4 linked regions of the Saccharomyces cerevisiae S288C genome follow. The gene in region 1 interacts genetically with each later gene. Each region holds a gene or a part of one and is shown in the gene's direction. Other genes may lie near its edges.

Region 1 (5,326 bases):
TTCTCTCCGTAATAAGATCAACCCTTTTAAAATATTTACATTTACAAGAAGATGTTAGAAATATATTAACGATCTATTTTATATGCCTTCTACACCGTTCCACAACTCTTCAAAAGTTAAAAACTTTGACCGAGTTTTGTGTTCCTTTTTGCCCCGAAGCAATTCCTTCTTGTTGATTCTTTCCCAATCCTTCCATGTGGTGTGCTTGATATTAGAGAGGTCGATAGAATTCTCTAAGGATAGCGCTCCGCTGACCACCAAGTCTTGTATTACTCTGTCTCCAACTTCAAAAGCATCTTGCATTGTCGAGGCAATAACGCCCTGGCTGCCCTTACGGATCCAACCAGATGCATATAAATGTGGGAATATTTCTCCGCTGGAAGTTAAAACACGACCCTGTTTATTAGCTATATGATCTTTGTCAAATCCAATAGACAACTTAGAGAATTCAGGCATGGGAACGCCTGCATATCCCAATGAAGTAATCAGCAAATCCACTTTATATGTCATAATATTATTGACGTCCTTCAAGGGTTGCAAACTGTTATCTTCATTTAATCGATTGTTACATAAACTCAAAGAGTTGATTGCACCAAAATCGTCTCTATTAATTTTCAAGGGAGTCTTCAAATAATCTAACTCCCAGAATTTGTCATATCCGCTGCTTGGAGGAGGAGCCTTTTTATAGTTTTTCTTCGAACGTTCATTAAATGGCTTGAGATACTCACTACACATCTCTACTCGTCTATTGAATGCACGATCGTACTTAGATGGGTCAAACATTTCTTTCTGGAAAAATTTAGGATCAATACGGCCACGTATGCCATACTTTTCTAACTCCCATAGTTCTCTTAATTCTTTGTTGGTGAATTTGGAATGAACGAAATCCCTTCGTGCAATTAGCTTAACGTCCTTTACAGGTGCCCTTCTTAGCAAATTTAGTGCAAGAGATGAGATGTCCGTATTTTCCCATATTTCATCAATTTGATTAGAAATAAGTACACGCGTAATATCAAGAGCAACGTTACCGTTTCCTATAATACCAACTTTCGAAACTTTGCTCCAGTCAAAATCGGTAAATCGCTTATCCTTTGCGAAATCAGGATGACCATTGTACCAATTGACAAATTCTCTACTGCTAAACACCCCTTTTGTTCCGAGTTCGCCAGGGATATTCAGCTTTCTGTCCCCTGTACAACCATAACTTAAAATAACAGCATCTTGATTATCCAGCAATTCCTTCAACAATATTTCTTTTCCAATGGTTATACCACCAACAAAGGAAAATTTATGCTTTTGGTTTGTAGGGGAAGAAAACTCTTCTGCACATGTGGTAAACGTTTCTTCACAATTTTTGACTTCTGGATGATCAGGTGCCACACCATATCTACTTAAACCAAAAGGAACAGGTAACTTTTCCCATATAGTAACATTTAATGGAATCGGTGACTTCTTGAGTAAATGGTACGCTGTATAAAAGCCGGAAGGCCCCGATCCAACAATGGATACAGTCTTACGGTTTATTTGTGAAGAAATGTGCCTTATTTGAACAAAGCTCATTTTCACAAGTAATGAGCTAAAAAAGGAAGAAGAAAGAGTGAGAAACTTTCTAAATGAATGAATGAGGCGTTGTGGCCAAGAACTATAGCAAGCAAAAAACTTTCTGTTACGTTCGAGCTATAGTTTACTGCTCTTCGAATTATATCTCGATTGAGTTACCCTTAAAGAGTGCCGAAAAATCGATGTAAATAGTATAAGTAAAGATTTCCACTCTTCTATATTTGCAACGCAGTAGACGTACCAAGGGACGATTTGAAAAAAAATGAAGTGTGCCCTCAATCTACCATGTCGGATAAGCCGATTGACATACAATATGATAAACAGGCTACTCCAAATCTGAGTGGTGTAATTACTCCGCCAACAAATGAAACTGGTAATGACTCAGTCCGGGAAAAACTTTCAAAACTAGTTGGCGATGCTATGTCAAACAATCCCTATTTTGCCGCCGGCGGTGGTCTTATGATCCTTGGTACAGGTTTAGCTGTAGCTAGATCCGGTATAATAAAAGCCAGCAGGGTCCTATACCGACAAATGATTGTCGACTTAGAGATTCAGTCGAAGGACAAATCATACGCCTGGTTTCTAACATGGATGGCCAAACATCCTCAAAGGGTATCTAGACACTTATCCGTTAGGACAAACTACATACAACATGACAATGGATCAGTTAGTACAAAATTTTCGCTGGTTCCGGGTCCGGGAAATCATTGGATTCGTTATAAGGGTGCTTTTATCCTGATTAAAAGAGAAAGGTCCGCAAAAATGATAGATATCGCAAACGGGTCACCATTTGAGACCGTAACCTTAACTACACTGTACCGTGACAAACATTTGTTCGATGACATTTTGAACGAGGCTAAAGACATAGCCCTGAAGACTACTGAGGGCAAGACTGTTATTTACACTTCTTTCGGCCCTGAATGGAGAAAGTTTGGTCAACCAAAAGCTAAAAGGATGCTGCCCTCCGTCATTTTGGACAGTGGCATCAAAGAGGGTATTCTCGATGACGTTTATGATTTTATGAAGAACGGCAAATGGTACTCTGACAGGGGTATCCCATATCGCAGGGGATATTTACTCTATGGCCCTCCCGGATCTGGTAAGACTAGCTTTATCCAGGCTTTAGCGGGCGAATTAGACTACAACATTTGTATTTTAAACCTCTCCGAAAATAATTTAACAGATGACAGATTAAACCACTTAATGAATAACATGCCAGAAAGGAGCATACTATTACTGGAAGATATTGACGCGGCGTTCAACAAAAGAAGTCAAACTGGTGAACAAGGTTTTCATTCTAGCGTAACATTTAGCGGTTTACTGAATGCCCTGGATGGCGTCACATCTTCTGAAGAAACTATTACATTCATGACTACCAATCATCCTGAAAAGCTAGACGCGGCTATAATGAGACCAGGTCGTATTGACTACAAAGTCTTCGTTGGTAACGCAACTCCATACCAGGTAGAAAAAATGTTTATGAAATTTTACCCAGGTGAGACTGATATATGCAAAAAGTTTGTAAATAGTGTTAAAGAATTGGATATCACCGTAAGTACCGCCCAGTTGCAAGGACTTTTCGTTATGAATAAAGATGCACCACACGATGCGTTGAAAATGGTCTCCAGCTTACGGAACGCTAATCATATTTTCTAGGTGCTAAGTGGCGCCTTACTACATAACTTGTATATAATAAAAATTCAGAAGATGCTTTAACTTTTTCTCGTTAATAAGACCGAGTTATTTGCTATTACGAACAAAAGAGTATATGATAAAGAGGCTTAAAAATACCCCTTCATTGACTATCCAGAAAAGCCTGCGTTGCAGCTTCAATATGATAAGGATATACTTCCCTCAAACCTTCTGCAGTTGCCCTTGTTCTAGCATCCAGCAGAATTTTTCTTAAAATGGCCTGAAATCCACATGCCAATAATAATTTCTTGTTATATTCTTGACTAGACTCTTGATCTTCATTTTGCCGTTGGAGAAGATCTTCTAGCTTATTCTCCTCCGCATCTAAACTAAGCTGCCGTAGCAAATAATTGGCCAATGCTTCCGTATCCATGGAAGAATGTTAGGAACTGTTGCTATTGTTGTACTTTGGTTATACGACAGTAAGTAACGTTGACTTGGTGACCGAAAATAGACACGAAATCGCTACCCGTTTCCCCAGAATATCACTCCTCACGATGTACCTCGGCGGCTAATCTTTTTGGTAGCCTTTTGTGATATATATATAAATAAATAAGTATACATACATATATATATATATATATTTATACAGCTACATTGTTTTCCTCCAAAATTTTCTGTTGGTTATGAATCGCAAAAGAAGTTTTCAGATTGTGTCCTCTGTTACTATTTCGTTAAGAAAGGAAGATATCGTCTACGGCTGGTGTGACGTAAGTATTGCGTTGTGCTCTAAAAATGAATCAAATCTGGTCTACAGGTCCCCCAAATTTTTACTTCAACTCTGAATGGAAAGAAAATAAGAGAAATGACAGGACAATTGAAGACTCTTTAAGAGAACTAGATGGGTTGATCCATTCCTTGGAGAGAACTCATATTGAAGTACAAACAAACCCAAAGCTAAAGAACGATGTCACAGCTTTAAATGATATTAACAAGAAAGAAAATAAAGAAGAGATCACTCATGAAAACTATACACACCAGATTAATAGTATTCCATTGACAAGCTCAAATTTAAATCGGCATTTCTCCTTTTCTAGAGACTACAACCAATCTGATAATAGCAATAATAATTATTACAGGGAATATTTATCCAAACCAAGGTATTTGCAGCAGTCAACTAAAGAACAAACTTTCAATGAAATTAATAAAAGAAAAAGTGCTGCAATTATTCCCCCTTGGTTAAATATTCCAGAAAACTCAAGATTTTTTGTAATAAAGTCCTCGTCTTTGAAGCATGTCAAAAGGTCGTTTTACAACGGAATTTGGTCGTCTACTCATTTCGGCAACAAAAGGCTATCTGAGGCATATAAAAAGCTTAATTCGGGAGCCAAAGTGTTTTTATTTTTTTCAATCAACACATCAGGAAGATTCTGTGGCGTTGCAGAAATGGTATCGGATTTGAAAATGGATTTGGACACCAGTATATGGGAAGATGAACAAAAATATGGCAAAGCCTTTAAAGTAAGATGGGTGATCGTGCGTGATATAAATAACAGATCGTTAAAAAGGTTTTTGATACCATCCAATGAAATGAAACCGATAACACATTCCAGAGATACTCAAGAAATTCCATATTCGATTGGAATTTCAATAATTAATCTATTTAAAACTCAAGATTCTGATATTTTCTCCTTCTTGGATGAGACGTATGAATAGACCTTATCCCTCATTTATCAACATTTTATTCTCATTTATTATTAGTATTATTATTATTTTTAATATTATTTTTATTTAAAATTATCCTAAAATTACTTCTACTGTTATAACATCCAATCCATAAGAAGCAAAAACAAAGTTTTCATATTAAGCCATCGTAAAGGTTTAAGGCACCAATAATAGAGGGATCGACTTTAGAACCTTCTCTGAATTCGTCCAGCGTAATGTAACCATCTTCGTTCTTATCCATCAACTTGAAGATCTTCTTTACCCTCATTTCGGGCGTTGCCTCATCCTCATTAAGTGTAACCATAGACCCCATCATTTTATAAACACTCGCCACAATGGTTAGCATTTCATCAAATGTAATATATCCATCATGGTTCAAATCATAAAGTTCGAAAGCCCAGCTCAGTTT
Region 2 (5,325 bases), on another chromosome or scaffold:
CCCACGTGGCTTGAGAGGATGCAACTCTGAAAATATCAGAAACCTTGTTGATTGGTAATGGTTTGGCAATGAAGTTGGCATTGGATAATTTCTCACCCTTTGGCAAATTATTGAAACCATAACCGACAGCGGCATCTTCCATTATATCACAAGCGTGCAAAATATCAGGTCTAGTTACCGGAATGTCAACGTGCAAGATGTCCTTGTCTTCCTTTGATTGAACGGCATGCAACGACATCTTCTTTAGACAATGAGCAATTTCATCAGCGGATTGATCTAGGCCAAGACAGGAGTTGATGTACTTAATGGAGACATCCATAATTCTATCGTTGAAGTTTGGCGCCAAACGGGATTGGCCATTGTGTTCAGAGACAATTTCTACAGGCTCAACCGTGAATGGTTCGTCACAATAACGTGAGAACATTGTAGTTAATATGTTCAAAACGATCTCGGCTTTGGTCTTATCGGTGGCGGTTATATCAATCAAAATGTTACGGGTGTTCACAGAGATCTTCGAATGTTCACTATTGATTAATGGTGGCAGGGAGCAAACACGATCTTTGCTGTCCATAATAACTGGGAAGACTGGAGAATCCTCAATAATGTGAACGTATCTCCCTATGTTGTTTTTCTGTTCTGGAGATTTATAAAACTCGATCAATTTGTCACCAGTAAACTCTTGGGTTTGATTCAATGGTACGAACTTGATGTCCTTTGGTGGTAGAGCTCTGTAATGGAATGGACCTTCAATTGAATCTAAATCGTGAGTACCCATGGCAACCAAGCTTCTGTTTCTACATAGATTGGCATGTAATTTATCTTGCAAGGCAATAAAAGAAGCGTAAGATTTTTCGTTAAGCTTGATATTTCTCAATACAGCAGCGGTAGCAAAAGGTCTAATTTGCTCCGTTGATTTGTCGATGATCAACTTAGTGGTTGGCTTGCTTAATTTATAGTCAGGTCTTTCTTTACGTTCCAAGTATTCGTTCAGCGACTGTGAAATACCTTCGATACAAAGCAAATCGTAACGATTGGCACTGATATCAAGCTTCAATTCCGGCTCCTCCCCGGTTTTCAAGGCCTCCTCTGTGGTGTCTTCGTCCATTTCCATACCGAATTCAAAACATAATTCATCGAACTCTTGGGAAGTGTAGTTTTTGCCTAGAAGATCAAATAATTGCTGCTTGTTCACGGAGACGGTAGGCATGCTGGCTCGGTGTTATTGATGTGTGTTATGCTATTCTGCCCTATTTTTTGAACATTTGATCAACTCCAGGCTTTCGAGAAATACATTGAAAATTTTTCATTTCCTTCAATTTTCTTTCTTTTTTGGTACCGATTCTGAATAATCGGTCACCTCGTGTGTCGTGATAAATAATCAAGAAGATGTACTTTTATACAAGGGTTGTAGTCATCTGGGACACTCTCAGAGCACTGGCTCTGACGACAACCATCAAACGCATGCTCATACGTATAATTCAAGCCTTACATACACTGGTATTCCCTTTGGGGTGTTTCTTTTTCCTGTCAAGTTGGGCACTTAAAAGAACTAATAAAAAATCAGTGTGAACTTTTCGATTTGCAAAGAAAATGAAAAAAAAGAAAAGGAGCTTTCACAAATAAACAGAAGAGATCAAGATGAAGTGGTTGTTGTTTCCGGCAAGAATCGTAGCTCGCACTCGCCCAAACCTCTTCTCGCTGTACAGAAGATCCGTTTCACAGTACTTACGTCCTCGAACCATCCAAAACCTGCAATCAATGGCGCAAACACCCGAACTTAAAACCAAGCTGTTCAAACCCTTGGTCTGGATCGACTGCGAGATGACCGGTTTAGACCACGTGAATGACAGAATTATCGAGATTTGCTGCATCATCACCGATGGACACCTGGCACCCGTCAAAGCGGCCGATGGCCAAGGAGACTCGCATTATGAGAGCGTCATCCATTATGGTCCCGAGGTGATGAACAAAATGAACGAGTGGTGTATTGAGCACCACGGTAATAGCGGTCTCACCGCCAAAGTTTTGGCAAGTGAGAAGACTTTGGCCCAGGTAGAAGATGAGCTGCTCGAGTACATCCAGCGCTACATCCCAGACAAGAACGTTGGCGTCTTGGCAGGCAATAGTGTACATATGGACCGCTTGTTCATGGTCCGCGAGTTTCCCAAGGTCATTGATCATCTCTTTTACAGAATAGTTGACGTCAGTAGCATCATGGAAGTTGCCCGCAGACACAATCCCGCTTTACAAGCACGTAATCCAAAAAAAGAAGCTGCCCACACTGCTTATAGTGATATCAAAGAGAGCATAGCTCAATTGCAATGGTACATGGACAACTACTTGAAGCCACCACAGGAAACAGAGTCGGTCGAGTCAATCGGATCTGAACAGCCGGAGTCACCATCTTCATCTACCTCATCTTTGAAAAGACAACGCACCGATTTTTAATGTAGAAAAAAAAAAAGAAAAAAGAAGTGAAATTTTTCAAATATTTCACACACGAAACATGACTCCTGGTGAGAAATGACCCTTTCAGGTTGCTTTGACCATAAAGGTTTGACTCTATCTCTTGGGTTTCTCATGTTCGCTTTTTACTCTGTATAATTTTTAAATTCATAATCATCTTAGACCGAACCATGAGTCTTCTTCATCTTGTTTTATATATAATGCAGAACTTGCTTCCCTTAGTTTGCGTTCAGTAATCTTTCCTTCTTCTAGTGTAACCTTTACGAAAGATACTACCCCATAGCAAAGCATAACAGCTTAAACCGAATCCTCCTTAACATGCCTTACACTCTATCCGACGCTCATCATAAGTTGATCACCTCTCATTTGGTGGACACCGACCCTGAAGTGGACTCCATTATCAAGGATGAAATTGAAAGACAAAAGCACTCCATCGATTTGATTGCTTCTGAAAATTTCACCTCAACCTCCGTTTTCGATGCCCTTGGAACTCCATTGTCCAACAAATACTCTGAAGGTTATCCAGGTGCTCGTTACTACGGTGGTAATGAACACATTGACAGAATGGAAATTCTATGTCAACAAAGAGCTTTGAAAGCTTTCCATGTTACTCCAGACAAATGGGGTGTTAACGTCCAAACTTTATCTGGTTCTCCTGCTAACTTGCAGGTTTATCAAGCTATTATGAAGCCTCATGAAAGATTGATGGGTCTATACCTACCAGATGGTGGTCATTTGTCTCACGGTTACGCTACTGAAAACAGAAAAATTTCTGCTGTTTCCACATACTTCGAATCTTTCCCATACAGAGTTAACCCAGAAACCGGTATTATCGACTACGATACTTTAGAAAAGAACGCCATCCTATATAGACCAAAGGTTCTTGTTGCTGGTACTTCAGCATACTGTCGTTTAATTGACTACAAGAGAATGAGAGAAATCGCCGACAAATGTGGTGCTTACTTGATGGTAGACATGGCCCACATTTCTGGTTTGATCGCCGCAGGTGTCATCCCATCTCCTTTCGAATACGCTGATATCGTTACCACCACCACTCACAAGTCTTTGAGAGGTCCACGTGGTGCTATGATTTTCTTCAGAAGAGGTGTGAGATCTATCAACCCTAAGACCGGTAAGGAAGTTCTATACGACTTGGAAAACCCAATTAACTTCTCTGTTTTCCCAGGTCACCAAGGTGGTCCACACAACCATACCATTGCTGCTTTGGCCACTGCTTTGAAGCAAGCTGCCACTCCAGAATTCAAGGAATACCAAACTCAAGTCTTGAAGAATGCTAAGGCTTTGGAAAGTGAATTTAAGAACTTGGGCTACAGATTAGTTTCCAACGGTACCGATTCTCACATGGTTCTAGTATCCTTGAGAGAAAAGGGTGTTGATGGTGCTCGTGTTGAATACATTTGTGAAAAGATTAACATTGCTTTGAACAAAAACTCTATTCCAGGTGACAAATCTGCTTTGGTTCCAGGTGGTGTCCGTATTGGGGCTCCAGCCATGACCACTAGAGGAATGGGTGAAGAAGATTTCCACAGAATTGTTCAATACATTAACAAGGCTGTAGAATTCGCTCAACAAGTTCAACAAAGCTTGCCAAAGGATGCTTGTAGATTAAAGGACTTCAAAGCCAAGGTCGACGAAGGCTCTGATGTTTTGAACACCTGGAAAAAGGAAATTTACGACTGGGCTGGCGAATACCCATTGGCTGTGTAAAGAAATCACCACAACGACACTTAATCCCAAAAAAATAAACATTACTGTATAAGTATTCATTTTCTCCTCTTCTCATTATGTATATATGTACCTATATGTATGTATGTATGTGCGTACGATTTTTCTAACGTTAACTTCATTTCTTTTTGATTATGTGCCCTCCTTGAGTTAAGATGTGTTTGTCCAGGGAAACCTTGTCACCATCGCTGAATAGTAGCAAATAGTATTTTAATGTTCTGGAGAACCAATAGCTAGGTAAATCATTGTTCACTTTTTCACCGTTTTCATAAAATTCCTTTATTTGCCACAATCCTTTGGCACCACTGTTTAGTTCCATTAATTCTTGCATTAAGATTCCAAAAGACTGCTTACCCATGCTTCTCCATTTTTGTTCTCCACTGATTCTGTACATATAAAATATAGATTCAATGATATTCGAATCCAACAATCTTCTGGATTCTACCTTGTTGACCCAAAATGGCCAGTCTGGATGGTTTTTCCACTGAGAACCCATGGTATCGTCCGTTGTAATATGCGGTTTGATATCCTTACCAAGCGTAAAAACTCTACGTATTTGCGTTACTTCGTCGCCGTCTATTTCAGCAATCGATTTCGAGCTTCCAACAGTATCACCTTTTATGTTTTGAGTCTCTGTTATCCCATCTTTGCTTAGTACATTTCTCTTAGCTTTCTGGTCATTCCCACCTTTCCCATAATTCGAAACTTTGATCCCGACATCTAGGTCATTTTCAAAAGTTTCATATTCGCCGTTGGCAATCATTCGTGATTTAGTTTCGCCGTTAAACTCGCAATTCCCATTAGTCTCATCAGTGCAAGGGTCCAACTCGAATTTTTGAGGGAGCAGCCCGTCGAACTCCTCCATTAGCATAAAACAACTTTCTGTTATTATTTCGCTCATTTCCAATAGTGACGATGGTAAAATATATTTCGTGTTGACACCGCCTCGGTGGGGAACACGTGAACTTAAACCTAGAATGCCGCCAAGTCTGCATGAGTATAACGAGACATCGTAAGATTTTCTTATCGTGACATCTAGCTCATTAGTCGTGGGCATGAATTGAGATTTTGTTAGAATGGAATTCAGAAAATTAAACTTTTTGTTTTCCGTTT
Region 3 (5,084 bases), 330 kb from region 1:
AAAGTCATCGAGCTAATTGAAGTGGACGGCAAAAAGGTGAGTACGACTTCAACCGGTAAACGTAAATTCCATAACAAATCAAAGAATGGGTGCGATAACTGTAAAAGAAGAAGAGTTAAGTGTGATGAAGGGAAGCCAGCCTGTAGGAAGTGCACAAATATGAAGTTGGAATGTCAGTATACACCAATCCATTTAAGGAAAGGTAGAGGAGCAACAGTAGTGAAGTATGTCACGAGAAAGGCAGACGGTAGCGTGGAGTCTGATTCATCGGTAGATTTACCTCCTACGATCAAGAAGGAGCAGACACCGTTCAATGATATCCAATCAGCGGTAAAAGCTTCAGGCTCATCCAATGATTCCTTTCCATCAAGCGCCTCTACAACTAAGAGTGAGAGCGAGGAAAAGTCATCGGCCCCTATAGAGGACAAAAACAATATGACTCCTCTAAGTATGGGCCTCCAGGGTACCATCAATAAGAAAGATATGATGAATAACTTTTTCTCTCAAAATGGCACTATTGGTTTTGGTTCTCCTGAAAGATTGAATTCAGGTATCGATGGCTTACTATTACCGCCATTGCCTTCTGGAAATATGGGTGCGTTCCAACTTCAGCAACAGCAGCAAGTGCAGCAGCAATCTCAACCACAGACCCAAGCGCAGCAAGCAAGTGGAACTCCAAACGAGAGATATGGTTCATTCGATCTTGCGGGTAGTCCTGCATTGCAATCCACGGGAATGAGCTTATCAAATAGTCTAAGCGGGATGTTACTATGTAACAGGATTCCTTCCGGCCAAAACTACACTCAACAACAATTACAATATCAATTACACCAGCAGCTGCAATTGCAACAGCATCAGCAAGTTCAGCTGCAGCAGTATCAACAATTACGTCAGGAACAACACCAACAAGTTCAGCAACAACAACAGGAACAACTCCAGCAATACCAACAACATTTTTTGCAACAGCAGCAACAAGTACTGCTTCAGCAAGAGCAACAACCTAACGATGAGGAAGGTGGCGTTCAGGAAGAAAACAGCAAAAAGGTAAAGGAAGGGCCTTTACAATCACAAACAAGCGAAACTACTTTAAACAGCGATGCTGCTACATTACAAGCTGATGCATTATCTCAGTTAAGTAAGATGGGGCTAAGCCTAAAGTCGTTAAGTACCTTTCCAACAGCTGGTATTGGTGGTGTTTCCTATGACTTTCAGGAACTGTTAGGTATTAAGTTTCCAATAAATAACGGCAATTCAAGAGCTACTAAGGCCAGCAACGCAGAGGAAGCTTTGGCCAATATGCAAGAGCATCATGAACGTGCAGCTGCTTCTGTAAAGGAGAATGATGGTCAGCTCTCTGATACGAAGAGTCCAGCGCCATCGAATAACGCCCAAGGGGGAAGTGCTAGTATTATGGAACCTCAGGCGGCTGATGCGGTTTCGACAATGGCGCCTATATCAATGATTGAAAGAAACATGAACAGAAACAGCAACATTTCTCCATCAACGCCCTCTGCAGTGTTGAATGATAGGCAAGAGATGCAAGATTCTATAAGTTCTCTAGGAAATCTGACAAAAGCAGCCTTGGAGAACAACGAACCAACGATAAGTTTACAAACATCACAGACAGAGAATGAAGACGATGCATCGCGGCAAGACATGACCTCAAAAATTAATAACGAAGCTGACCGAAGTTCTGTTTCTGCTGGTACCAGTAACATCGCTAAGCTTTTAGATCTTTCTACCAAAGGCAATCTGAACCTGATAGACATGAAACTGTTTCATCATTATTGCACAAAGGTCTGGCCTACGATTACAGCGGCCAAAGTTTCTGGGCCTGAAATATGGAGGGACTACATACCGGAGTTAGCATTTGACTATCCATTTTTAATGCACGCTTTGTTGGCATTCAGTGCCACCCATCTTTCGAGGACTGAAACTGGACTGGAGCAATACGTTTCATCTCACCGCCTAGACGCTCTGAGATTATTAAGAGAAGCTGTTTTAGAAATATCTGAGAATAACACCGATGCGCTAGTTGCCAGCGCCCTGATACTAATCATGGACTCGTTAGCAAATGCTAGTGGTAACGGCACTGTAGGAAACCAAAGTTTGAATAGCATGTCACCAAGCGCTTGGATCTTTCATGTCAAAGGTGCTGCAACAATTTTAACCGCTGTGTGGCCTTTGAGTGAAAGATCTAAATTTCATAACATTATATCTGTTGATCTTAGCGATTTAGGCGATGTCATTAACCCTGATGTTGGAACAATTACTGAATTGGTATGTTTTGATGAAAGTATTGCCGATTTGTATCCTGTCGGCTTAGATTCGCCATATTTGATAACACTAGCTTATTTAGATAAATTGCACCGTGAAAAAAACCAGGGTGATTTTATTCTGCGGGTATTTACATTTCCAGCATTGCTAGACAAGACATTCCTGGCATTACTGATGACAGGTGATTTAGGTGCAATGAGAATTATGAGATCATATTATAAACTACTTCGAGGATTTGCCACAGAGGTCAAGGATAAAGTCTGGTTTCTCGAAGGAGTCACGCAGGTGCTGCCTCAAGATGTTGACGAATACAGTGGAGGTGGTGGTATGCATATGATGCTAGATTTCCTCGGTGGCGGATTACCATCGATGACAACAACAAATTTCTCTGATTTTTCGTTATGATAGAAAATTTAAAAGTGCAGAATATTCGAAATAGATTCCCAAAAAAAAAAAAAGGGATATTGTGTTACCCAGTTCACAATGGAATTTTCTAGAAGAAAAAACAAAGAAGCCTCGCAACAAACCAAGATGGATTCAAAATGCCTACTTACCGCATTGTATGTGGGAGAATGAACATATCTGTAATTGTATTATATAAAAGTAGTTAGTTTTTTTTTTTTTTTTTTTTTTTTTTTTTTTTTATGTGTAATGCAAATACAAAAAGAACTGCAGGCATTTTGAAAGTTCACTCGTATAGGAAACTTTGATAGAGAGGCAATTCCTTACTTTCGTTATTCCTTTCAGTCTTATTCTTAATCGTTTATAGTAGCAACAATATATCAATATGGTCGTGAATAACCCAAATAACTGGCACTGGGTCGATAAGAACTGCATCGGATGGGCCAAGGAGTATTTCAAACAGAAACTGGTTGGAGTGGAGGCCGGTTCGGTGAAGGATAAAAAGTATGCCAAAATCAAGTCTGTTTCGTCCATTGAAGGTGATTGTGAAGTTAATCAGCGTAAGGGGAAGGTTATATCTTTGTTTGATTTGAAAATCACGGTGTTAATAGAGGGACACGTGGACTCTAAGGACGGATCGGCATTGCCATTCGAGGGTAGCATTAACGTTCCTGAAGTTGCCTTCGATAGCGAGGCCTCAAGCTATCAATTTGACATATCTATATTTAAGGAGACTAGCGAATTGAGTGAAGCCAAGCCACTAATTAGATCCGAGTTATTGCCCAAGTTGAGACAAATTTTCCAACAATTTGGCAAGGATTTGCTGGCCACCCATGGTAATGACATTCAGGTGCCCGAATCTCAGGTGAAATCTAACTACACAAGAGGTAACCAAAAAAGTAGCTTTACCGAAATCAAGGACTCCGCTTCAAAGCCAAAAAAGAATGCACTTCCCTCTTCTACTTCAACTTCAGCACCAGTCTCCAGCACCAACAAAGTCCCCCAAAACGGAAGCGGCAATAGTACATCTATTTATTTAGAACCAACTTTTAATGTGCCTTCCTCCGAGCTCTACGAAACGTTCCTTGATAAGCAACGCATATTGGCCTGGACCAGATCAGCACAATTTTTCAACAGCGGACCGAAGCTGGAGACCAAAGAAAAATTCGAGCTCTTTGGCGGCAACGTGATCAGCGAGTTGGTTTCATGCGAAAAGGACAAGAAACTTGTTTTCCACTGGAAACTCAAGGATTGGTCTGCCCCTTTCAACTCTACTATCGAAATGACTTTCCATGAGTCGCAAGAATTCCATGAAACCAAATTACAGGTGAAGTGGACTGGCATACCCGTTGGCGAGGAAGATCGCGTGCGCGCTAATTTTGAAGAATACTACGTGCGTTCTATTAAATTGACATTCGGCTTTGGTGCCGTATTATAAGATATATTGTTCTCATGTTTCAATAAAAGTATGCGTAAATATTTACATACCACTATTGGCATAGATAGAATGCAATACATCATGTAGTTCTGTACGGCATCCGCGCGGCTCCGATCGCCCGTCCTACTTTTGCGGCCCGGCGCCGACGGCCTCCCCGGAATTTACCAACGAAGAGGAAAATAAACTGGAGTTATAACGCCATTGGCGGGAAACTCCGAAACCATAGCGCCGTGGTCTTTCCCCGGTTTTTTGGCGCCGGGTGTGCTTGCGTTGTGTGAACGGCGCCCTGGCAGCTGAGGGGGAAGGGAAACGCCGGAGGCGACGGCAAGGATGACCATGGCGTCAAGGAACATGCGGAACATGCTAGAATGATTGCCGAAAGGGCGGGCCCTAGTCAATGGCATCATGCGGGAACGTGCAGTAAAGCTCAATGTAACTTGATGCCTATCGGCGTTGTTCGAGCTAAGGACGATGTGATAGACTGAGGAAGGGTGAACGTCGATAGTTAGCCGTTGTGAACTAAATAAAAGTGATATTTTTTCGTTGTTCTTTTCTTGGTTTGGCGGTGTTTTCATTTGTTTTCATGTTTTACTTCGCCACAGGTTTTCAAAGAACAACGCCTTAAAAATAGGAAAACGTTTTCGCTACAGGTGTTGTTATTATTGTTGTTGTGCTGTTGTTTATTGTGCTATACTTGTGGTATTTATTCTGGACTTCCGATCGGAAATTTTCTTCCCTTGAAGACCTTTTGAAGACAACAGTTATATATCATTGATCTGAATTTCTCAGGCTATTTTCAAAATTCCATACCTCCTTATTCCAACATTTGCTCGACTACTATAGAAAAGCCTTATTCTTTTATCTTTGAAAGAAAGAAAAGGTGTCATAGCAAAAGTTTATTGTTACTCTGTTTTGATATACTCCCTCTTATTCGTTGGAAGTATAAGATTGATTTGCATAAATTAAC
Region 4 (6,695 bases), on another chromosome or scaffold:
CAGACACCAAGAAAAGACAATCCATGCATTTAGGATCCAAAAGTTCGCTAATCTCGCTGACTAGCGAATTTGGCCATGGACACTCCAAGACGAAGCAGAAAAAGGAGGAGGGCACAGCTCCTTCTCAATTCCTGTCTCCTACGAATAAGAGAAGCACATCTAGTCAGTCAAAGTTAAAAAGGAGCAGCTTGTTACTGGACGAAACACTGCTTAAAGACTACCACTCGGCCATGAGGCACATGCAAACAAACGCTGCAAAGGAAGAAAAGCTGCGGATGGCTCCATCACCAACGCAGTCAACGAGGAGCGAATCAGACGCCAGTCTTTCCTCCACCAAGAGCTCGATCTCTTCCATATTTTCCCAAGATAATGACTATTCCATTCACGATTTGTTGTACGAAGATATTGAAGAGATGGATAAAACAGACGCTTTCAAAATTAACAACACAATAGCAATCGATGATTCTAAAGCTCTCTTTGTCTTCTGTTCAAACGACTCCTCCTCAAGGACAGCGTCTATCGAAACATTGCACGAATCAAATTTGGACAACCTGGATATGGGTTCCAGTAGAAGGACATCGTTGGACTTTTTTTAATATAACCTACCATAGGACACACTTTGTTGTTGATGTTGGACAATTCGTTAATTAAGAGTCCCTAAACGGCTCTACTAGTTCCAACCTCACTTTGTTTTTTCATTTTTTTATGTTTTTTCTAGAACCTTCTTTACGTGATTCTCGCTCGGAATCCGTCAATAGAATGTTTTCAGTCTCCGTTTCAATATTCTGCGCACATCAATCATTTTCTTACTACATACACTAACATTACTCCTAGTTTAATTTAATTGAATTTTTAACTTTCTTTTCTTTTCATTTGGCAATTTGGCTCCTTGAAAACAAGACTATGGGTCTCTCTCATAAGCCTCAGGGGGGGACCCCAAAAAAATAACGCGGCCATCTTGCATGCACCGTTGAACCTGTAGCTTACAGTAAGCCACAATTCTCTTACCTTCTTGGCAATGTGGCACAAAATAATCTGGTTATGTGTCTTCATTTGGTAATCACTGGGATGTTACTGGGGCAGCAGCAACTCCGTGTGTACCCCTAACTCCGTGTGTACCCCTAAAGAACCTTGCCTGTCAAGGTGCATTGTTGGATCGGAATAGTAACCGTCTTTACATGAACATCCACAACCAACGAAAGTGCTTTTTCAAGCATTGCTTGATTTCTAGAAAGATCGATGGTTATTCCCTCCCCCTTATGCGTCCAAAAATATAGGGTGCTCGTAACAGTAAGGTATTCGCACTTAGCGTGCTCGCAACACAAAATTAAGTAATATGCGAGTTTTAGATGTCCTTGCGGATCTATGCACGTTCTTGAGTGGTATTTCATAACAACGGTTCTTTTTCACCCTTATTCCTAAACATATAAATAGGACCTCCATTAGTTAGAGATCTGTTTTTAATCCATTCACCTTTCATTCTACTCTCTTATACTAATAAAACCACCGATAAAGATATATCAGATCTCTATTAAAACAGGTATCCAAAAAAGCAAACAAACAAACTAAACAAATTAACATGTCATTTAACAGTCCATTTTTTGATTTCTTTGACAACATCAACAACGAAGTTGATGCCTTTAACAGATTGCTGGGTGAAGGCGGCTTAAGAGGCTACGCACCAAGACGTCAGTTAGCAAACACACCCGCAAAGGATTCTACTGGCAAGGAAGTTGCTAGACCAAATAACTATGCTGGCGCTCTTTATGATCCCAGAGATGAAACCTTAGATGATTGGTTCGACAATGACTTGTCCCTGTTCCCATCTGGTTTCGGTTTCCCTAGAAGTGTCGCAGTTCCAGTTGATATTTTGGACCATGACAACAACTACGAGTTGAAAGTCGTGGTTCCTGGTGTCAAAAGCAAGAAGGACATTGATATTGAGTACCATCAAAACAAGAACCAAATTTTGGTTTCTGGTGAAATTCCATCTACCTTGAATGAAGAGAGTAAAGACAAGGTCAAGGTCAAGGAGAGCAGCTCTGGTAAGTTCAAGAGAGTCATCACTTTGCCAGACTACCCAGGTGTGGATGCAGACAACATTAAAGCAGACTACGCAAATGGTGTTTTGACATTAACAGTTCCAAAATTGAAGCCTCAGAAGGATGGTAAGAACCACGTCAAGAAGATTGAGGTTTCTTCTCAAGAATCGTGGGGTAACTAAAGTGACCTGGCTCTATAGTGTTGTCCCTCTCGCGAGGACCATTGTTGCTTGCATATGGGCTTGAAACATATGGTCATCACATCTGAGCGATTTTACCTCTTAGAATTAGTTTAGATATATATGAGTTGATGAATAAATAGTTATAAAAACTTGCTTTGGCTTCGATATATGACCGTTATTTTTGACTAAGTTTTAACGAAGGAATCTAACCTCGTTCTTGTAATTACCAAAATCTTCAACAACGCGCTGTTGGAGGTATCTCTATGGATGTGGCTTGAAATATGGATGTCTTGCCTACTTCTACTTCTGGGAAAGGCATTTTTACTCGATCGCGTTAATATATGCATCAAGAAAATAAAAAATAAAACGCGAAGAGCTAAAAAAAAAAAAGAAAACCTACTATAAATAACCGATTAGAATCGAGTTTTTGTATTGAAATGGCGGTAATAAGCGTTAAACCTCGACGAAGAGAGAAGATCCTACAGGAGGTAAAAAACAGCTCGGTATATCAAACGGTATTTGATTCCGGTACTACTCAAATGCAGATACCGAAATATGAGAACAAGCCATTCAAGCCTCCAAGAAGGGTTGGATCAAATAAGTACACACAACTCAAACCAACCGCCACTGCAGTCACAACAGCCCCTATATCTAAAGCCAAAGTTACTGTCAACTTGAAAAGAAGCATTTCGGCGGGACCTACTTTAAATCTTGCCAAGAAGCCGAATAATCTGTCCTCAAATGAAAACACTAGATATTTTACTATCATGTACAGGAAGCCTACTACCAAAAAGCACAAGACTTGGAGTGGTGATGGCTACGCTACCTTAAAAGCCAGTAGCGATAAGTTATGCTTTTATAACGAAGCAGGGAAATTTCTTGGGTCAAGTATGCTACCAAGTGATTCAGATTCTCTCTTCGAAACTCTTTTCAAAGCAGGCTCCAATGAAGTACAATTGGATTACGAATTGAAGGAAAATGCAGAAATACGTAGCGCCAAAGAAGCCTTATCACAAAACATGGGAAATCCCAGCCCACCGACCACAAGCACAACAGAAACAGTGCCTTCTACGAAGAATGACGGTGGCAAATACCAAATGCCTCTGTCTCAGCTGTTTTCACTAAACACTGTGAAAAGATTCAAATCAGTAACAAAGCAAACAAATGAACACATGACCACAGTACCTAAAACCAGTCAAAATTCCAAAGCCAAAAAATATTATCCAGTATTTGATGTCAACAAAATCGATAATCCTATAGTAATGAACAAAAATGCAGCCGCTGAAGTTGACGTAATTGTTGATCCATTACTGGGCAAATTCTTGCGCCCTCATCAGAGGGAAGGGGTGAAGTTCATGTATGATTGCTTAATGGGCTTGGCAAGACCAACTATTGAAAATCCGGATATCGATTGTACTACTAAAAGTTTAGTGTTAGAAAATGACTCAGATATTAGTGGATGCCTTTTGGCTGATGATATGGGTTTAGGTAAAACACTAATGAGTATAACTTTGATTTGGACATTAATTAGGCAAACTCCTTTTGCATCAAAAGTTTCATGTTCGCAATCAGGCATACCATTAACTGGACTTTGTAAGAAGATTTTAGTCGTTTGTCCCGTTACTTTAATAGGAAATTGGAAAAGAGAATTTGGAAAATGGTTAAATTTGTCAAGAATAGGTGTTTTGACATTAAGCTCAAGGAATTCTCCTGATATGGATAAAATGGCTGTCAGAAATTTTTTAAAAGTGCAACGAACTTATCAAGTCTTGATTATTGGCTACGAAAAACTCTTGAGTGTTTCTGAAGAATTAGAGAAAAATAAACATTTGATTGACATGCTGGTGTGTGACGAAGGCCATCGACTAAAAAACGGGGCTTCTAAAATTTTAAATACGCTGAAGAGTTTAGACATAAGAAGGAAGCTTTTGCTTACGGGAACTCCTATACAAAATGATCTTAATGAGTTTTTCACTATTATAGATTTCATAAACCCAGGAATCCTTGGAAGCTTCGCTTCTTTCAAAAGAAGATTCATTATCCCTATAACTAGAGCCAGAGACACTGCAAACAGATACAACGAAGAATTGTTGGAAAAGGGGGAAGAAAGGTCAAAAGAGATGATAGAAATTACGAAAAGATTTATTTTGAGACGAACAAATGCGATTTTAGAAAAGTACCTTCCTCCAAAGACGGATATAATTTTATTCTGTAAACCATACAGCCAACAGATATTGGCATTCAAAGATATTTTGCAGGGCGCACGTTTAGATTTTGGACAATTGACGTTCAGTTCTTCGCTAGGACTAATAACATTACTGAAAAAGGTTTGTAACTCTCCTGGATTGGTTGGCTCAGATCCCTATTACAAATCACATATAAAGGATACCCAATCTCAGGACAGCTATAGTCGTTCTTTGAACTCTGGTAAGTTAAAGGTATTAATGACATTACTAGAAGGTATTAGGAAGGGTACCAAGGAGAAGGTCGTCGTAGTGTCTAACTACACTCAAACATTGGATATAATTGAAAATTTGATGAATATGGCTGGGATGTCACATTGCAGACTCGACGGTTCCATACCTGCTAAACAAAGGGACTCTATCGTCACATCTTTCAATCGGAATCCAGCCATATTTGGATTCTTGTTGAGTGCAAAATCGGGAGGTGTAGGATTGAATCTAGTCGGTGCTTCGCGACTTATTTTATTTGATAATGATTGGAATCCTTCAGTAGATTTGCAAGCGATGTCACGAATTCATAGAGATGGTCAAAAAAAGCCGTGCTTCATATATAGACTTGTCACAACTGGGTGTATCGATGAGAAAATATTGCAAAGGCAATTAATGAAGAACAGTTTGAGCCAAAAATTTCTAGGTGACTCGGAGATGAGAAATAAAGAATCTTCTAATGATGATCTTTTCAATAAAGAGGACTTGAAGGACCTGTTTTCTGTCCATACAGATACCAAGAGTAACACACATGACTTAATTTGTTCTTGCGATGGTTTAGGTGAGGAAATTGAATATCCTGAAACAAATCAACAGCAGAACACCGTAGAGCTGAGAAAGCGTAGCACTACGACATGGACAAGTGCGCTGGATTTACAAAAGAAAATGAATGAAGCAGCCACCAACGATGATGCCAAAAAGTCACAATACATTAGGCAATGTCTCGTTCATTATAAGCATATCGATCCAGCAAGACAAGATGAATTATTTGATGAGGTTATCACAGATTCGTTCACCGAATTGAAAGATAGTATTACCTTTGCGTTTGTAAAGCCCGGCGAGATATGTCTCAGAGAACAATGACGCCAAATATGGACACTTATATACTAAATAAAATAGCTATTATTTAATCACTGATTGTATTTAATAGGTTTATTCTTGCACGACTCATTCAGGTTCAAGTCACATATTAAGTAGGGCCTATTGCTGATTCAAGTTGATATCCACGTTTTCACTAATTTGATAACGATACGCTGCGGGCGCAAATCAAACATCTGAAAGATTTGAATAGCCTTTAGTCCCAAAAAAAAAAAAAAAAAAATAATGTGAAAAATTATCTACAAGGAAATAAATTGATAGGTAAAGTTAAAGAATCACGGCATGAAATTAAAAAGTGTATTCAGATCAGTTCTAAAGTACCGGAAAACAAATTTGAGTTTGCTTCTATTAATCACCTATTCGATTATTACGTTACTCTATATCTTTGATCATGAACGTTATAAACTCAATCTACCAAAAGAGGATGAGCACCCTGAATTCAATGACTTATTAGAAACAGCATGGGGGGACTTACAGATTATCACGGCCTCTTTTCATCCGTACACGTCCAAAGAAAATGATAAAGTACATGATTACTTGCTCAAAAGGGTTCTTGAAATTACAGGGAATTCTTCGTTTGCAAGTGTTTCAGATGACAAAGAAAGCGAGAGATCCATATTATTTCAGCAACAAGATCCTTTCAATGAGTCATCTAGGTTTTCGAGAGTGACATATTTTGAATCTTCTAATATATTAGTTAAGCTTGAGGGTAAAAATCCTGAGGAAGAAGGGTTACTTCTTTCAGCTCATTTCGACTCTGTACCCACAGGATATGGAGCTACCGATGACGGCATGGGTGTAGTGTCTTTACTAGCGAACCTCAAGTACCATATAAAGCACAGACCGAACAGGACTTTAATTTTCAACTTTAATAATAATGAAGAGTTTGGCCTACTAGGTGCATCAACTTATTTTGATCACTCATGGTCTAATTTAACCAAGTATGTGATAAATTTAGAGGGAACTGGTGCTGGTGGTAAAGCTGTACTGTTCCGAACTTCAGATACTTCAACAGCAAGAATATACCAACAGTCTGTTAAGGAAAATCCATTTGGTAACTCTATCTACCAGCAAGGTTTTTATAGCAGATATGTCAGGAGTGAGACAGACTACAAGATTTACGAAGAAAATGGCATGAGAGG

Evidence for each region.
Region 2: mutations in BCS1 (region 1) and SHM2 together harm fitness more than expected from each alone (negative genetic interaction), as found in Saccharomyces cerevisiae (2 studies listed by BioGRID).
Region 3: mutations in BCS1 (region 1) and AHA1 together harm fitness more than expected from each alone (negative genetic interaction), as found in Saccharomyces cerevisiae (2 studies listed by BioGRID).
Region 4: mutations in BCS1 (region 1) and RDH54 together harm fitness more than expected from each alone (negative genetic interaction), as found in Saccharomyces cerevisiae (2 studies listed by BioGRID).

Annotation. Positions count from the first base shown.
Region 1 is NC_001136.10:1,223,056-1,228,381, reverse strand, and holds BCS1 (bifunctional AAA family ATPase chaperone/translocase BCS1), read left to right. Parts: upstream 1-1,845; coding exon 1,846-3,216; downstream 3,217-5,326. Other genes in the region: ARH1 (NADPH-adrenodoxin reductase), read right to left, coding at 79-1,560; WIP1 (Wip1p), read right to left, coding at 3,356-3,625; PHO92 (mRNA-binding phosphate metabolism regulator), read left to right, coding at 3,988-4,908; FRQ1 (frequenin), read right to left, coding at 5,051-5,326.
Region 2 is NC_001144.5:256,861-262,185, reverse strand, and holds SHM2 (glycine hydroxymethyltransferase SHM2), read left to right. Parts: upstream 1-2,784; coding exon 2,785-4,194; downstream 4,195-5,325. Other genes in the region: FRS1 (phenylalanine--tRNA ligase subunit beta), read right to left, coding at 1-1,207; REX2 (Rex2p), read left to right, coding at 1,639-2,448; putative mannosidase MNL2, read right to left, coding at 4,331-5,325. UniProt on the Saccharomyces cerevisiae protein: Interconversion of serine and glycine.
Region 3 is NC_001136.10:889,811-894,894, forward strand, and holds AHA1 (Aha1p), read left to right. Parts: upstream 1-3,064; coding exon 3,065-4,117; downstream 4,118-5,084. Other genes in the region: UPC2 (Upc2p), read left to right, coding at 1-2,682; YDR215C (uncharacterized protein), read right to left, coding at 4,279-4,692. UniProt on the Saccharomyces cerevisiae protein: Co-chaperone that binds to the molecular chaperone HSP82 and stimulates its ATPase activity.
Region 4 is NC_001134.8:380,451-387,145, forward strand, and holds RDH54 (DNA-dependent ATPase RDH54), read left to right. Parts: upstream 1-2,661; coding exon 2,662-5,538; downstream 5,539-6,695. Other genes in the region: YBR071W (uncharacterized protein), read left to right, coding at 1-596; chaperone protein HSP26, read left to right, coding at 1,580-2,224; YBR072C-A (uncharacterized protein), read right to left, coding at 2,410-2,571; PFF1 (Pff1p), read left to right, coding at 5,836-6,695. UniProt on the Saccharomyces cerevisiae protein: Involved in the recombinational repair of double-strand breaks (DSB) in DNA during mitosis and meiosis. Has DNA dependent ATPase activity. Promotes D-loop (displacement loop) formation with RAD51 recombinase.